2 linked regions of the Cricetulus griseus genome follow. The main gene of each other region encodes a partner of the protein of the gene in region 2 in a complex. Links are inferred from orthologs where the notes say so. Each region holds a gene or a part of one and is shown on either strand. Other genes may lie near its edges.

The links.
Region 1: the proteins of Myo3b (region 2) and espin are in contact, whole or in part, in a crystal structure (PDB 5ET1), measured with the Mus musculus proteins. The link is inferred for Cricetulus griseus from reciprocal best matches to the Homo sapiens genes MYO3B and ESPN. Residues at the interface, in XP_017174528.1 of Mus musculus: Arg1223, Arg1224, Gln1226, Gln1227, Pro1228, Lys1229, Met1230, Leu1231, Ser1232, Ser1233, Asp1236, Thr1237, Met1238, Tyr1239, Tyr1240, Asn1241, Gln1242, Leu1243; in NP_997570.1 of Mus musculus: Leu35, Ala37, His41, Arg45, Ala67, Asn69, Ala71, His75, Asp76, Ala79, Thr80, Asp101, Ser103, Leu110, Arg113, Phe114, Thr135, Thr137, Ala139, His143, Tyr144, Ala147, Thr169, Asn171, Tyr177, Leu178, Gln181, Ala203, Asp205, Met207.

The regions. Positions count from the first base shown.
Region 1 is NC_048595.1:4,239,938-4,243,753, reverse strand, and holds part of espin, read right to left. Parts: intron 3,303-3,816; coding exon 3,223-3,302; intron 3,135-3,222; coding exon 3,123-3,134; intron 707-3,122; coding exon 562-706; 3' UTR 1-561. UniProt on the Homo sapiens protein: Multifunctional actin-bundling protein. Plays a major role in regulating the organization, dimension, dynamics and signaling capacities of the actin filament-rich microvilli in the mechanosensory and chemosensory cells.
Region 2 is NC_048599.1:104,749,068-104,752,752, forward strand, and holds the end of Myo3b (myosin-IIIb), read right to left. Parts: intron 3,446-3,685; coding exon 3,339-3,445; intron 2,965-3,338; coding exon 2,918-2,964; intron 2,011-2,917; coding exon 1,872-2,010; 3' UTR 1,841-1,871; intron 726-1,840; 3' UTR 524-725; downstream 1-523.

The sequences.
Region 1 (3,816 bases), on a different chromosome or scaffold from region 2:
TAAACAGTTGACTGAGAGGAAACCCTCGTCGGGGATGAGAAATGCAGCCTGGCCTTGGCTAGCACAGATCTGGGTCGTGGAGCGAGGAAAACCCCTTCCCCGAGCTCGGGGTCTGCCTCCACCCAGGATGCGCTAGCAATGTGGGTTCCGGGCTGCGGGGGAGGGGGCTGCAGGCGGGCTTGCGCCCTGCAGGAAAAGTCACCACCCACGGGCCTGGGGAGAGCTCAGCGCAAGGCAGACGAACATGCAAATATATGTAAGTGAGCATGCAAATAAGCAGCGTCTTTTTTTCTCTCGCTCTTTTTCTTTTCTTTCTTTTTTTTGCGTCAGCGACTTGGGCACTTTTTTTCCAGGCGACAACAGCAGTACGCAAGCACTCCAGCAGCAGGGCTGGGGATATGGGGCCAGGGAGGGGAAACAGGGAGGGTTCCGGCACCGAAGGGAAGGGTGGCAAGGCTCCCAGCCCTTCCGCACCAACCTGACAGGATGGGGCGGGGGCTGGGGGACCGGTCCCCATCTCTCAGAACTTGTGAGGCCACATGCAAAAGGCTGAGACTCCTATTACTTTGGGATCTCCCCCTTCTTCAAGATGACCTGTCGCTGCCAGGGTGCGAGCTTGGCCTCATCGTAGCCTAGTGTCCGCAGCTTCTCGGACTGTTCTTTCGCCTTCTGTATTTCCTCCTGCTTTTGTCGCTCCTCCTCTTTTCTGTTTATGGGTGGCAAAACTCAGTGATGCCTGAGGCCAGGTACTGGGGCCCGGCCAGACACCAGGATGGCAGTGGGACAGAGGAGTTAATGAGAGCAGGGCCTTCTCTGCTTAGGAGCCAGGGTTTTCATGGGGTCGTATTGGAGTTGCAGGGTTACTCAGGAGAGATGGGTAAGTGGAGGCTGAAGTTGGATTGTTTTGCGGAGGAGTGTTACAGGAAAGAGGTGCTGGGTCATTAGGTGACCCTGTGTGAGGATTGAATGTTAAGGAGTTGAGGGGATCAGTGACAGGAGGCCTGACATTGGAGACAGGACTTGAGTTGTTAGGGAGCCTCAATCTAAATTACCAGGGAATAGTGTTGAGCCATTGGGGATCTCATTACTGGGGAACAGGCCAGCAAGCTAGCTAGGGACAGCTTCTCAGAACACAAGGCTAGGGACTGGGGATATAGCTCCCCAGTAGAGTGCTTGCCTAGAACACTCAGCTTTGAGCCCCAACTCGGTGACAGGTCACCACTAATAATATTCCGTTATTGAGCAATTAAACTGTTCAAATTGGCATGCACATGGTATTTTTAAAATCAAGTTTTTTTTTTTTTCTTGGTGTTTTCCTTTCTTTTCTTTTTTGAGACAGGGTTTCTCTGTGTAGCTTTGAAGCCTGTCCTGGCACTCACTCTGTAGGCCAGGCTGGCCTTGAACTCACAGAGATCCACCTCCTGAGTGCTGGGACTAAAGGTGTGTACCACTACTGCCTAACTGGGTTTTTTTTTTTTTTCTTTTAAGGGAAAGAAAAATGTCGTGTGTGTGTGTGTGTGTGTGTGTGTGTGTGTGTGTGTGTGTGTGTGTATGAGAGAGGGGGGGGGCTTTGCTGACAAGGCTGTTTGAACTTTGCTAGAATTAGAGGCCTGTGCCAACACTGCGGGAGTTTGTTATTCTGTTTTCAATTTCATTTAATTGAGTGTGTACAAGCATTTTGCCTGTGTCCATGTCTGTGTATCACATGTATGCCCGGTGCAGAAGGGGGCTGAAAGAAGTCATTGATCCTCTAAAACTGGAATTACAGATGGTTGTGAGCTGCCTTGTGGGTACTGGGAGTTGAACCTGAGTCCTCTGGAAGAGCAACAAGTGTTTTAACTATTGAACCCTCTCTCTAATCCCATGACTCCAGAATTATGCAATACTGGAGACTGATTTTTTTGTTTGTTTGTTTGTTTTTCGAGACAGGGTTTCTCTGTGGCTTTGGAGCCTATCCTGGAACTAACTCTTGTAGACCAGGCTAGTCTCAAACTCACAGAGATCCACCTGCCTCTGCCTTCCGAGTGCTGGGATTAAAGGCGTGCACCACCAATGCCCAGCAGCTTCTTTTTTTCTTGCATGCCGGGCAAGCACTCCACCGACTGAGCCAAATGCCTAGCTCTCATTAATAATTACTCTCAATACATTTTCTACATTAAGTTAAAGTATTAAAATTAAACTTACCTATATCTTATAAAATTTTCTCACAAAATTTAAAATTATGTAAGTGTTGCCCATTGTACTTCTGCCTGGCAGTAGATAGATTCCTGGGTACAGAAATTAAGTTGAGGGGAAATGATCAAGTTTGTTGATCTTTGGTTAAAATAACTGTCCTTGGGGCTGGAGAGATGGTTTATCAATTAAGATCGTGTACTACTCTGCAGAGGACCCAGGTTGGATTCCCAGCACCCACACTGGGTAGCTCATAACCACTTGTAACTCCAGCTCCAAGGGAATATGACACCTCTGGCCTCCATAGGCACCTTCACACATGTGTACTTACCCACACACAGACACGCAGACACACACAAAATTTTTGTTTGTTTTTCAAGGCAGGGCTTCTCTGTGTAACAGTCCTGGCTGTCCTAGAACTCACTGTGGTAGACCAGGCTGGCCTCGAACTCACAGAGATCCACCTGCCTCTGCCTCCCCAAGTGCTGGTACTAAAGGTGTGCGCCACTGCCACCTGGCTGACATACACATAATTAAAACAGAAAAACCAGCACTGTAGGATAGCAAGGGTAGGCTTTTGTTTTGAGACAATGTCACCTGTAGGCCAGGTTGGCCTTGAATTGACTGTTAAACCAAGATAATCTTGAACTCCTAACCCTGCCTATACCCACTAAGTGGGATTATAGGTTTGTCATCACAGTGGGTGAAAGCAAGATTTAATGATAGAAGATGGCGGAGGAGGGCCTGGGTAACTTAAGAATGTGATCAGAGCATGAGCAGTAGACTTTGAGGGGTGGGTGCTAAACAACTAAGGGTCTATGTCACTATTGGGAACTGAAAGTTTATGGTACAGGGACTGAAAGCATGGGCTGGATGAAGGAGTAAAAGAGATAAGCCTCTGTGACTGGGTGTAGGAAGAAGTAGCGGGTTTGGGCCAGTACCATACTTACCGCTTCTGCTCCCTGGAATGAGAAAGAGACAGTATTAGATGGCATCACAACCCCAGAGTCAAGATGCACGCCCGCCAAGCAGCCTCCACCAGGTGCTCACCGCTCCTCCTCCAGCTTCTTCCGAAGAATGTCTCGCCTCCAGGCAGGCAGGTTGGCCAGCCGAGCCTCCTGCTCTTCCTCCTAAAACACAACCACACAGCCAGCTTCAGGACCAGCTTGCCTGAGATTTGCAGGCCAGGGGCATGCACTTCCAGCCCGGGAGACATGGAGAACTCAGGGACAGCAGAATATGGATGCGTTAAGACCCTCTAGGTGACCTCCTATGGTGCAGATAATGGTACTTGGTGATGGCCTGCTCAGAAGGGGCCTTCTGAGTGACCCGACCAGTGACCCGACCAGTATCCTAAAGGTGAAGCCAGATAGATCACAGGGAGGGAAAAAGGAAGATGCAGAAAAGTTACTGGGTCCTGATTCCCCACAAAGCAGGTGGCTACATGGCCCCACGTCTGTCTTCCAGAATTTCTAGGCAGATACATCTCAGGCAGACCCAGGCTGCACTGGATCTGCTATGGAGGACCTGCTGGGCCATGCTTGCTCTTTTCTTAGTGGAATGGGGTGGGGTGTGGTGTGCTCCATACTTGGGGCTATGATGATCCGGGGAGAGGGGCACCAACACAGCCTACAACAGTGCTTT
Region 2 (3,685 bases):
ATCTTGGATTCAAGGCAAGACAGCACTCACTAATGTTTCCTTGTGGAAATGTAAAAAGTGTGCAAGACTATATACAGGGCCCTACCTCTCCGTGAGGGTTTAGCTGTTGCTATAGGGGGTATTCTTTGGTGGTAAAATTGTCTCTAAATTGCCCATGCCTCTGTAGGCAGCCCTTTACCCATGCTCCTGTCTGTAACCCCAATTGTTCCCTTTTTGGATTTATTTATTTATTTTATTTTATATGTATGAGTGTTTCTGTTGAAGTGTGTATATGCATCACATGTGTGCTTTGTTCAGAAGAGAGCGTCAGATCCCCTGGAACTGGACTTATCTATTTGTAGGCCAACATGTGGGTGGGTGCTGGGAACTGAACCAGGTCTTCTGCAAGAACAAGTGCTCTTGCCTGGAAGTAGTGGTGCACACCTTTAATCCCAGTACTTGAAAGGCAGAGACGGATGAATTTCTGAGTTCGAGACCAGCCTAGTCTACAGAGTGAGTTCCAAGATGGCCAGGACTACACAGAGAAACCCTGTCTTGAAAAACAAAAAGCAACAATAACAAAACAACAATAAAAGAGCAAGTGCTCTTAACTTCTGTTTCATCCTTCCTGCCTCAGGAAGCCCAGTTAAACCCCCTGGTTCAAGAAGCTAGACTTGGGTGGATTCTTCTCTTCGGTCTGTCACTGTTGTCTTGTCTGGGGTGTGCAGAGGTTTGTTCACGTCTCCCTGGGGAAAGTTAACACACCAGCTTCACTTAATTGTTTCTCTTCACAAATACTTACAGTGCCCCCCATTAAAGAGAAAAACCTCTGATAATATTTTTCTAAGACCTTTAAAGTCTTTTTCTCAAATTAACTAAGGATTTTAGAGAAAGAAAATATTAAGAGCATCTGCTCTAGAGGAGTCTTTGATGAGGTTGTGCTTTTACAGCACACAGCAGCTTTCCACATTGTTTTACACAGAATCCGTGCTTAAGAAAGCTGCTCATATTGAATTGTACTGAGTATGACACTGTATAATGCCATTACAATTACAATAAGAACAGCTCAACCTTGGGCAAAACATCAGAGCTTCCTTATATATAAGAAAGTGGTTACTCATCTGTCACATATCAGTAACTCCCCTGCCAGTCATGCTGCTCTAAATAAATTCATTCTTATGCACTGGGTGTCCACTCACCTAGGCCCTGAGCTAGGTCTGAGAAACACAGAGATGGACAAGATGAAATCTGTCCCCTCACAGCCTATGGAGACAGCTGACTGGGGAAATCAGGTGGCCTGCACTTGCACAGGCCCAAATTCTCACTCCACATTCTGCTTTCCAAGGCTGGAGTGATGGGCTTATCTTGGCAAGCATGAAGAAACAGTCAGAGACTATCTCAACATAACAGCATGCAACAGAGGCATTCACTTGCCCCGTAGAAAGGCTCTGAAAGACTTTGACTCCTGCATCTAAACAGACTACTCTTCCTGGAAACAGTGCACTCGGCAGTGAAGCCCTGATCCTGGGGAAGCAGATATAGAAAGCCCAGCAAAGTGGGTGGGAGTTGAGAAGAGCAGGAAGGAGATTGCTGGATTCCTCTGGGGGGCGGATAGACAAGTTATCAGATTCCACAGTTGGCCTGTGGTGGGACTGTCCACCCTGACTGCATTGACAAGGCAGGGATGAAGAGAACAGGGGTTCCACGATTCAGGCTGCAGGGCAGGTGAAGGGGATCAAGAGACAGAATCTTCAGGGATCTGTGAGTTGTTCAGCAAGGTTGAGGCAAGGCTCTGTCCAAGGAAGCTGACCCCATGACAGTGATTTCCTATTAGGTGATCAGTTACCACAATTGCTTCTACCTGGGGCACATTTGGGGCTGGGAAGCACAGCTCAGTGTTGAGCAACGGAGTCTCCTCTGGGTGATGAGGGGGAAAAAAAAGTGTGGGATGAGTCATTTTCCTCAGGGGCACAGGTCTCAGGGGAGAGGCATTTGTAGTATTGGTCTTCCCCATCCAGCACTTTAATTTGTCTGCAAGAGAGAAAGGAGGATTTTCTTCTTTTTTTTTTTTTAATTTTATTCTTTTATTAGTTCAAATTAGGAACAAGCTTGCTTCAGATGTCAATCCCTTCTCTCTCTCCCTCCCCCACCCAACATCCCACCTGCCCCTAACCATCCCCCCTCTACTCCCCAGGCAGGGTAAGGCCCTCAAAAGGGGCTCCCCAAAGTCTACCACATCAAGAAAGGAGGATTTTCAACAGGAGATATCAAACAGATACCATGATCATCCCTGTTGAACCTAAAGTTGTAGGGGGAGGGAGTGGGTGTTGGATCAGGTCTACACCTTGATGAAGAAGATTTTCACTTTTCTGGGCCGAGGTAAGTAGTACCTAAAAGTTGTGGTCATATTGTAACTTGAGTTTTATATAGTCGTCTGTCTCCATCTGTGTCCTCTAGAAACAGTTCTGCTCCTGACCTCCCTCAGTTCAGAACAGTGCCAATACCCTTCTGGTCTCCACTGTGATGCCGACAAACGAAAGGACCAGGCACTCCTCATCATTCCTTGCAAGTGTGAAGCCCAAGGAAATATTAAACATGGAGAGAGTGCCTATTTACACGTGGGAAAGTGCTCTTGCTTGTGGAAGGAGAGTTTTGTACAACTCACAACCAGTCCCATTCCCATTCCTTGGCATGCTAAGGAGAAATAACATTTGTCTTAGGTGACAATTTCAACCTTTCTGGACAGAACGGATTCAAGTTTTGTGTGCTTGCTACTGTGAAAAAGAATTGCTGGTGCCAATAACCGTGGCAATATCCGCAGGGGGTGGGTGGGGGGACTATTTTTAGAAGGCTCCCTGGAAAGTTTGGCCTTTTCTGTGATATCACAAAGGACCCCTTCTGTTTACAGTTGCTGGAAACTAAGAAGACAGATATTTACCCAAGTTTTCTTGGCTTCCTCTGGCTCCCTTGATATTCTAGAGTTCCCTGTGGATAGGGCCAAGAACACACAGTCAAAGCAAAGCACCAAGTCGTTAATTTTTAATTCAAAGTGATTTTGTGTTGAATGCAAGCAGATGCTGATAATATCAGAAGTCACAGCATAATTTTTTTGATCAAAGGGCTCAAGTGAGCCTGATGAAGCATGCATCTTGCTCGTCTTTGATAAACCACATCAATTATTCACCGTGAAGGCAGACATCCTGACATGAAAGCAACAGATAAAGAGCCTAAGCACATGTTCACGAGGAGAGCAGAAGAGAGTGGGGGTGGGGCTGGAGGGGCTGGAACAGGTATTAATAACAGAATTATTAACTGGAAACAAAGCCGGTAAAACGGCTTTACGGCCACTTTGAACTCACGTTTAACTGGTTATAGTACATGGTGTCCTCAGGGCTACTCAACATTTTGGGCTGCTGACACCGTCTGCGAGGTGCTCGCTGCTTCTGGGAGAGCCCATCTTTTGAACCTGCGGACAAGGAAACTTCACTGCAAGCCTTGCTGGGAGATTGCTCTTCATGTAAATGTACTTGGTAGAAGCCCTGTCCGGTTTTAATGAAGCTTTGCTACTTCTAGGAGAAATGTCATCTCTCTCCTCTCTCTCTCTCTCTCTCTCTCTCTCTCTCTCTCTCACACACACACACACACACACAATATGTGATGAAAGCAGGGTGCTGGCATCCGTAACTTGGCTGCATATTTCCAACTT